2 linked regions of the Drosophila melanogaster genome follow. The protein of the gene in region 1 interacts with the protein of each later gene in a pairwise test. Each region holds a gene or a part of one and is shown in the gene's direction. Other genes may lie near its edges.

Region 1 (5,675 bases):
CTTCTCCTTCTTGATCAGCTCGGCCAGCTCCGGATCGCCCTGTGCCAGCGGGGTTTGCAGCAGTTTCTGATCGGCCATATTCTGTTCGGATTTATATAGTATTGTATATTATATATATATATATATAGTAATTGGAATGCTGTGCAATGTGCGATGCGCTCGCCAAGACGATCGTTGAATATGTGCGGACCGTGGAAAATGAACGGCTGCCTGGTCAGCTTTATGCCATGTTTTTAATAACGCTTCGAAACAAAAATAATATTTATGTTCCCGCCGCCGATGGTTGCGAAAAGTTACAAACAAATACGGGTTCAATGGGTTCAAATAGCATTGGAAAAGTTCCGGCGATAAGGCGCAGCTATCGCCAAGGCGAAGATTACGCCTGGATGCACCATGGCAACCACTCGAGAGGCGCTCCCCCGATTCCCTATTCCCGATCCACGATTAGATTGGCCAAATACCAGGGAAACCAAGTGACTTGGGTGCAATAACACGCCCATGATCGAAAATGCGACCCCCCATGGATGGGAGAGCGCGTCTATTTGCGATCCGCTTATCGTCAAGTGATTATCATCCGTCTGGGTCACCAGTTCAAGTCGCCGGACGACGATAAGGACACTGCCCCCCCTTTGCAGCTGACGCACTTCGGAAAGATCGGGAAACGTACGTATATAGTCGAAATGGAGAATATTGGCAGAAAATGGACAAGTTTATATGTATGTAGCTTCCTCCAGCAAATTACGTATCTCTAGTACCATTTTGTTGTTCAACGTTTCCAGCTGCTAACTAATAATCCCTGGAAGATTCTTCTATTTTCAACGCAGAAATGAATTGGACACGCAAAATTTTAGCTGCAAAAACTGGAAACTGGTGATTCCCACTAAATTGAATGCTAATTTCTGGCCACAAGTTGAGTGCAAAATGCATATACATATGTATGTATGTATATTTATATACAAATCTGCCCACACGAATGGGAAATTCGATTTAATGGCCAATGCCAGATTCTTTTTTTTTTTTGCGTTATCAGTTTAAATATTTAGACAAGTGCAAACGAGAATGACAACAACAATGCTCGATAGGGCGCAAACAGCCGAGAAATTCGAGTAGGCCCAAAAACGAGTTTCAGGCCGAGGTAGCGAATGTGAATCAAAAAGATTCAAACTTGGCGCATGGCGACGTTTTGAATACACTAACAGTACACTGATACAAATACGGTACATATATGTACATATGCTATAAGATCTCAATTAAACTACACATGTACATAGGTACTTAACAATGATACTACTATAAACAACACTTTCAGCGGATCGATGGCATGCCATCCACGTAGGGATAGTGCAGTGTGGGAACACATGGCTGAATGAAACGCATGAAGCACATGGCGATTAGCCGGGCATGCCAGGAGCCGCAAATGGAAGCGAAACACAAACTTTCTGAGCACCGCGATCACTGCAAGAATTAAAGGCAATCGAAATGCGAGTCCCCCAAATGGTTCAATTAGCCACACTTTTTCCACCCTCCCCTTCACTTTGCCTGGGACTTTCCCGGCGAACTCACCTTCAAAGTGCTCTGCTTGGAGTCCGAATATCGTCTGATCGCCGGTAAGAATGGCGTTGGTGATGGTTGTTTTTTGGCGGCGATGCGAGTTAAAGCTCCGCTAAGCTTTCCAGTCTCGAAGTTAACCGGGTTGCCAACTTTGGTGTTCAGGTCCCGACTAAGGCAAAACCGAAGCTTTTGTGTCAGTGTAGAGCGCGCCCGCTGCATGTCTTTGTAACTGTAATAAGCAGAATTTTATAGATTTTAGTGGATGTTTTTCAACAATCCTTGGTAATTATTAGTACTCACACGGCTGCGTTCGAATCGGAACTGCCGCAAAGTGAGAAGAGTCGCCGGCGCTGAGATGACGCCGCCGCTGGCTGATAAGCGATAACGATAACCCGTGACCCCTGACCGACCCAGTGATAAGTCCGCCCAAGAGTTCCGACCCGATCGCTGCGCTATCTCTTGGCCAGCATCCAAAATATTCGACACCGAAAATACAACGAAGCGAAAACACGCGTTACGTTGGTAAACAACATTTACCAGGCTAACAGATATCAGCTGTTTGGGTAGTTGGATCGCTGGATTTAGAAGCTTTTGGCGCCGTCTGGCAACGCTAGCGATAGCTACCAATTCTTGTATAAATATTTACAATTTGTGGAAATGTTAAGCGTGTGTGCCTCTTCAATTAATATTAACACTTTATTTTATATCATAATATGCGTTTCTCTCAATCCCTTAAAATGTACGTAGTTATCAAACGCGCGATAACGTTAAGGCATTTAAAGTACCCGCCAAATTGCTGGTACTGCGAACCGGTTTAAGTTGCCAACCGATTGGGAGAGTGCAACATCTCTCTCCAGCAACATTGCTGCCAGCCAAAGTCTATATAAGCAACAACGAAAGTTCAATTCTTTTCACTCAAAAATCCGTCTCCTCCGCGGTACGTTTCACTTCGCTGCGCCGCTAAAAGAAAATTCCTGGAAAATATTAACAAACACATGAGCCTAACATTCTTAACAATTCCAAAACAGAACATTTATTTTTGGTGAATTTCCTGACAATTTAGTGGTTAGTGTTTAATGTTAAAACATTGCTGTGCGCATTTACCGTTATCCGCTCGCAAGGCAAAAGAAAAAGCGCGCGTTTTGAATTCGCTGTTTCGCATTATTTTTTTTTATGTTAAAAAACAAAATATAGAAATGAAACAAAAATGGCAAGCCAGAAATTAAATGAATGAATGAATTTTTTTCGACACAATTCTGCTGCGTGTGCAATTCGATTCGAATAACAAAACAAAAAGCATAAAGGAAAAGTAAAAGAAATTCGAGGGGGGAAAAAAACGCCAAAAGAAAAGATAGCGCGAAAAGTCATAAAGAAAAGGTGAGAAAACAAATTATTTATTTCATGTGCTAAAAAGACACGCAAAACGAACGTCGTTTTATTTTTAGCCAAACAAAAGTTGTGTGTTATTTGTGCGATTTTCTGTTTTTGTTCGCCGCTCTCCCCTTGTTTTTTATCGTTTTTGTTTTTCAATCATATATTTTGTGCTTCTTTTTTTTTTTGCATGTTTTGTTTTGTGCGTGCTCTTTTTTGTTGAATGCAAAAAGGCGAACAAAATATTACGATAAAAATTCCGTTGTTCTCGCCGAAGGTTTCCGGGTTTGTTGACTTTGCCAGCTGAATATTCGAAATTGACATAAATAATAATCGCATGCAATTATTGTAAACAATTGTTTTTCGCTCAGGAAACGATTGGCGCTTTTTCTTCGCTTATTGTAATTGTTGCTGCCAACTAATCGCCAAGATAAAAATGAAAAAAGAGGGGAAAAAACCTACAGAGTTGCAAAAAATTAATTAAATTCATAGGCCAGTAATTTACATTTTTTGTGTGATTTTTTCGCTTTTTTTGTAGTTTTTGTCTAAGCTTGATAATTAGGGTTTTTTGCGGGCTGTTGTTTATCTGCTACAGTTGTACCCAAAATAATAGTCGATGCTTAAAAATGTTTACAAAAAATGTAAATTTTTGTGGCGCTTCAAATAGCTTTACTACGATTTCGAACACAATTGTATATCTTAAGTTTTGGGGCTATTTTTTGTGCTGGTTTTAAATTTTGGTTTATCGGTTTTTGTTATTTCTGTGGCTTTTAGTTTTCTTCTTCACCTGTTTAGCCTTATTTTTTGTTGTCGATTTCGGCTTATTTGTTTTTAGTTTTTTGTTGCACTATTTGAATGCGAGTTTTTTTGTTGTTGAGAGAGGCATTTCCGCCTTTATGGCAAAAGCAATTTACAATTTGCAATTTACTTTTCTCTCGTTTTTTTGCTGTATGGCAATTCATTTTTACAACTTTAATTATATGAACAAAAACTGCAAAACATGAACGGCAAAAATTAAAATTGCAAATCGCATTTGAGTGACGTCGCCGTCAACGTTTCTCCTTCCTTTTGTTTTTGTCGGCTGTTTTATTCGGTTTTTTGTTTTCACAGCGGCATTCGCCTGCGCAAAAAAAAATAAAACAGCGAATCAGTGTGTGGAAGATTGTGTGGAGGGGGGGCAGAGAGCGAGAGAGAGAGAGAGGAAGAGAGCGTATCAGGAGCGAATCTGGAAATTTTTGAACCAAGCTACCGATTTGCAAGAAGAACATGAAGTTAACAAAATATATAGGTTATTGAGCAACAAAATTACGTAAAACATTTAAGATATTTAATGGCACTTAACTCGAATATTTACCCCCTGATCCGGCCCTGGCTTCTGTGCGCTAGTGTTGGTGTGCGTGAGTGCTCTCTCTCTCGTTCGCTGCTCTCTGCTCCCCATCTTCATCGACCCCCCACCACCCGCCTTCGCCCCACTCACACACATTTCAATTACATGTGAAACGCGTGCTCCAAATTTCAAGTTCATTGTCCAAAAACAAATCAGAACAAAAGCGATAACAAACAAGCAAGCCAAAGGCAAAAAAACAAGGGCAGGTCAGCATCCGACGTGCCACGCCCCCAAATTTGGAATATATACATACATATATGCATATATGTTCATATACATACCTATGGACATAATTAATTAATTTATAAATGTGGGAGAAACGCTTAAATAAAGCCTAAAATTAGTCTAAAACTACAACGATTGATATTCCAACAAAACCAAATTCGAAATATAAAACATTTTCAAATCGATTTCGAATAAATGCATATTTACCTGGGCTTCGAGATTTGAAAGCTTTGCATCTAGATTTCATTATCATAAATTATTCGTAATATATGATATATCATGTAAAAAACTTTTGGGTATTCCCACAGTCGAGTCGAAATAAAGCCGTGAAGTATTTATAACAAAATCACACTTATTTTCGTGTTATTCCGCAACCAAATAAAAATTCTTTAGAAAAACAATGCGGCAGTAGGAAATAAAGCAAAAAACGACACAAATTTTGACACGAAATATTGTTTTTCGTGTGTGATTATTTTGTTGTTGTCATTTTTTGTCATACCAGCTTTAAGTTTAGTTTACTCTATGTGTTTATTTATTTTCATTTTGGTAGTTGGCAAATAAAATTCGCTTACGTAAATTTTGGGGTTGTTTATGTTTTGCGCACTATATATGAAAAATGATAACTATAATTTGCAATGCGTAAATAATGTTTGTCAAATGCCGACAAAGTTCCTTAAATCTATTCACAGCGTTTTCAATTTCAATTTCGCCGAAAAAGGGTTTGATTTTGCAACCATTTCTTTTTCATTGAGCTCCCCACTTTTTTTTTCCCTCATTCTCTGATATCAGCTCATATTTATAATTAAAAACAAACAATAAAAAACTGCACTGCAGACGGCAAATCGGAAAAATATAACAAAAAATAAAAAGAAAAGAAGCCATAAATATACACACATATGTGTATAAATATTTATATTTATATGAATTTGCGGGGCGAGACACTAAAAATAAAAAAACAAAACTAACGCTAGGCAAATTTCGCTGATAACTTTGAGAAGTGCTGAAAATACTGGGGCTCCAAAGGGAAAAAGAGTGTAGTAATAATAATTTAAAAAAAAGGTTGAAATCAATGCAATGCGAAGAGATAAAAACTATTTGCGTCGCATAAAGCCAAGCGAAACAATGGGAAATAATAGAGAAA
Region 2 (4,698 bases), 4.2 Mb from region 1:
TTTTTTTTTGGCTGAAGAATTTTGCGGATGAGGGTAGAGTTTTGTGGATCTGGCACCTTCAATATCTTTTCCTTCACTTCTTTCGGGCTTTTTTTTCTCTCTTTTGGCAAATTAACAAGCCAGCAGGAGGGTGTGAGAAGAGGCAGTTCAGCATCCCTTTTAAACATTGATTTCCTGGCGCCTAGGTACATGGAGTATTTCTACACTACAAACAATTCGTAATATTTCTCAAGCTTATGTTTTGCCAAACCAAAACTTGTACAAAACTTGCCATCTTCGGGTGAATATTTTTCCCAGGTGTACAAATGTAATTGAAGCATCGAAGAAATCGCAATTCGCACGGACGCATTTCCTCGCAAAAGCAAACAACAAATAGATATATAAATATATATGTATATACACGTATATATGTATGTATATTTGTATATAAAAAAAAAGTGAAAGAGGCAGATTATATGGGCGGTGGTGAAAGCGTGGTGAAAAGTGGGCGCTGATGGAGATGAAGATACGACTGCTCCATTCAGCAGCTGTGAACGGTGAAAACCTTTTTGGCGCTAATTGCAATTACACGAAATATTATTTGCACACATTTTCAGCCAAAGCCGCAATCAGTGCGACAGAGAAGGTGCTTCTGCTAGAGAGAGCGAGAGAGAGAGAGAGAGAGAGAGAGAGAGCTATAGGCGGTCTGTGCGAAAATAAGCTAACAGTTTAATCAGTTGAACGAATGTTGAGCCAAATCCCAAGACCCCCAAAAAACGAAGGCCAATCGTCGGGATTATCGAGCAAGGAGTGGCCCAAATGAGTGCTCTTAATTTGAATGTAAGAATTTAATGAACTAAATGAACTGCCAGGAATAAATGTAAATAAATAAATAATCCAATAATAAAGATACGCCCCTGTTAACCTTTAACAACTAACTTATTTATGTAGCTCCATTTTTAAACCCTGATAGCTGACCTTTAGAATGCATAAATAGACAAATGTCAGGATCCATAATGGAATGCGAACCCTTTTACAGATTTATTTGCCCGCCTCATACATTTATTTGCGTACCCAAGTCAGCACCTGATACGCGAGTTGGTCCCCATTCACTCCGCCGCTGTCAAATTCAATTGCAGTTGCTATTCACAATTGTCTGGCATGTCGGCCGATAAGCCCACGGCATGGCACTCGGACCCCACCCCCCCTTAACCCCTTGACCCCTATTCAATCCCCTATCACACCCCCCCCCCCCCCCATTGGGCCCACAAACAGCGTGCAATAAATCAAACATCAAAGCGATGAGCCAACTTGAAATGGACTGCAAATTTATGCAGCGACAGCTCTCAGTGCCCCGATCCCAAAAAAACCCGATTCCCATTTGAATGGCAGATGGCGGAACAACAACAGCAGGAGTAAGCAAATCAAAGGTTGGCACACCCTGGAATTCATAAATAAAATTTAAGACCTTAAAAAAAAAACAGGCAAATTTAATATCAGGAAAGTTCAGGCATTTAACGGACAACGATAAATGTTAGTTTAAGCAATGTAAAGAAGAACGTTCCTTTTTTTTTTTTGGATAAACTAAAGGTATATTTTTTTACCTAATCCAGATATGTCAGTTATCCGTATGCAAATGAAAGTTTTCATTATAATTTGCCGTATACCTGTTTAGTTTATTTGCGCCTGTATACTATTTACATGCATGCGATAAAGTTAATTAAATGCAAAGTGGCAAACAGAATTTCATTCACATTTTTCCATCCTCATCGTGTCGTTGGAAAATATTGAAAAAACTTGAAGGAAAACAGAAAAACAAAAATGAATACGCAAACAGGAATACATTGTGGAAAACTCTATGCGAGAAATAGCAACACTATAAGATTTTGATTCATAACATTCTATGCAACTCGTTTTAAAGAGATATTTATACACTTCAAATAATTTTAAGAAATTTTTGTAAAAATATTTACGTGTATTTTTGAGCATTTGAAAATTTGTGTTGCCAGTGCAAGCGGTCAGCAGCACATATTGCAAAAGTTATGAACAGGAAATGAAACGGAAGCTGACAATATTCTCCAACGACGATGAAATAAAGGTGATTCAGCTAGACCATTTCCATTTCAAGCACTTTTTGACCAACTGTGGAGTTTTCTATTGGGGTGACTCGTTGATATCGCTAGCAGCTGGTTAATTGGCCCAGAATGTTTCACTATCATCGACAACTGTTTTTGGCTGGTTGTTTCTTTTTTGCCAAGGAATAAAAACCATCGTAGGGCGAAACTGGCCCAACAGAAGGGTTTGGAATGGCCGAAGAGAAGCATCGCATGTTGTTCCAAGACCAGGATCCCGGCCAGGATCTGCAGATAGAGCGACCCATGTCCTTGTCGCCATCGGAACCGCCGACCTACTATGATGCAATGCAAACGTTTACGATTCAGAATAATTTGGATTATTCCAACGATCGGCGAAGAACCCTTTTTGCAGAACCCCAACATCTAAGGTCCAGGGTGGAGGAAATGCCGATGCCGATGCCGATGTCCCAAACGAAAGACGAGGTGAGCGTACAATCGGAAGGATTAGCGGACAACAATAGCATCGATCATCGTGCAATGCCACCAGTGAGAAGTAAGTGCGATGGTAACTATGAACTGAACACTCATTCGATTGCATATTTTGAAATTGTGTATTGGCCAGATTTCTTTATCCTAAGCCCGCAACCCAAACTGGGTAGCCAGGCGATGGACATCGTGTGCCCAGCTTGTGGTCAACGGGGAGTCACCCGTTTGAAGAGGTCACCTAATGCTCGGACTAACCTTTGGGCCCTCTGCTTGTGCACTTTTGGGTGAGTTGGGTATTTAAATTAGTTTGAAAATTTTAACTAACTTTTAACCCAAAACGTTGTTAGCTTCAGAAGTGCTAAGTTTCAAGTACTTAACACTAAATATGAACAAAATGATGAGTAAACTTTCAAAAATCGTATGAAATAATGGAAATAGATAAAGTAACTTTCGATTTACATACCTCGAACTTTGATATACTCATATCCGTATATATGTATCTATGTTTTTGTTTTCAGTTGGTGCTGCTGCGCTTGCCTGTTTCCGTATCTATGGAATGGCTGCCGGACAACGAATCATTACTGCTCCGCCTGCGAGATCTTTCTGGGCGCACATTATCCGAGGAGCTGCTGCTGCTGCTGCTGCCGGCGGCGGTAGTCCGGAAATATCCTGCAGGATCGCAGCCGGAATCCGGCCGCTAATTGTGAAAGTTTTCCGTGTGTGCGAATAAAGCTGAGTGGGGCGGCACGCGCTTCTGACCGCAAGGACTTGGCGCTTATTCGCTTGTAATGAGTAACGCAGTGCCGGGCGCGACCGGAAATTGTGCGCCGTCAAATCGAATTGCCTACCTAAGCCCATCGTCCTTCGTCCTCAATCCGCAATCCACAATCCACAATCCTTTCAACATCGGACACCATACACCGATTACCATTGCCATGCTCTGTACTGAACTGCCCTGTCGCCCAAATGATGCATAACTGGCCTAAACAAATTGCCTCATCATCACTCCGTTTCGCACATCCTGCCAACGAGTGCTGGTTGTTGTGGATGCTGTTCGTTATTTGATACCCTGCAAAAAAAAGAAGAGAGTATTCAATTTAGATACAATTACTTAAATATAACAATAAAATTATAAATATGTCTAAGAAACTATTATGTAATTGGGCAAAAGGGCAAATGCAATCTTTTGCCAAGAACTTATATACCCGAAATCGAGAAGAGTGTCCCCAGAATTTGAACCATCCGCAGTTGTTTGGCCTCCAGTTGCGCTTTTTTGTTTTCGAGGTTTCTGCCTATTTCAGTGCTTTGCGCGGCTTTGTTCAATTTTTGGTACTGCAATTGGCCAGCGGTGGCAGCAAATTCAATTAGCGCCTCGTACGTTGCAGCCTTCAGCGCAACATGGCCTTCGACGAATGGGCCAAAAACCGTTACTGAAAGCCCAGCTATGGATGGATGGATTGACTAGGCCACAGCTGCGGGGCCGAGAAACAAAAGGACAGAGCTCGACAATTAGTCGGTTCACGGTGCCGCCAACAACAATAATGACCAAAAGAGCATTATGGCCGAGCTGGTGGAATAATGTGGAAGCTAAAACTCAATCGCATCAAGTATACGCCGCTTTGTCCACGCATCAGTTTATTATTGCTACTGCTGATGCTGGCGCCGTTGCTGTCGTAACAAACAATGATAATCAAAAACAACAATAATAATCATACTTATAATAAATACGTAATGGTATAACAATGAAAATGAGGTGCCAACGGCAGTCCGTCCCAATAAGTTGGCCACTTTAATTAGATCAGCTTTTGCTTCTGGCTGGTCTTCTGTTTTTGCGCCTGCCCATTAATGTCAGCAGTAAACAATGCGTATCATTGTGTTAATTCATTTTCCTATACATAAAAGCTACTACAGCTGCGTTTGCTGTGGACGGTGGACGGTTTTATTATTTAGGGGATTTTGTGCTTTAATTTATGATTTTCTTTAAGTAATATGTAATATTGAGTATTGCTATTGCCAAAATCTGTTTTTTCCAAAATTTCGTCATAGAATAATCCGTTTTTTGCAACAACTTTACAACTAATTGTTCAAATTTGGATTGTCATATCTCGTTTAACTCGTATTTAAATTTCCATTCAAAGTGTGTTTAAAAGCAGAATTT

Evidence for each region. The genes of interacting proteins can lie anywhere in the genome.
Region 2: the proteins of CG3726 (region 1) and CG12645 interact in a two-hybrid assay, tested with the Drosophila melanogaster proteins (one large-scale study listed by BioGRID).

What each region holds. Positions count from the first base shown.
Region 1 is NC_004354.4:5,914,700-5,920,374, forward strand, and holds the start of CG3726 (uncharacterized protein), read left to right. Parts: upstream 1-2,397; 5' UTR 2,398-2,928; intron 2,929-5,675. Other genes in the region: Shmt (serine hydroxymethyl transferase), read right to left, coding at 1-81, 1,564-1,770.
Region 2 is NC_004354.4:10,151,327-10,156,024, forward strand, and holds CG12645 (uncharacterized protein), read left to right. Parts: upstream 1-2,285; coding exon 2,286-2,619; intron 2,620-2,676; coding exon 2,677-2,824; intron 2,825-3,003; exon of another isoform or gene 3,004-3,058; coding exon 3,059-3,197; 3' UTR 3,198-3,683; downstream 3,684-4,698.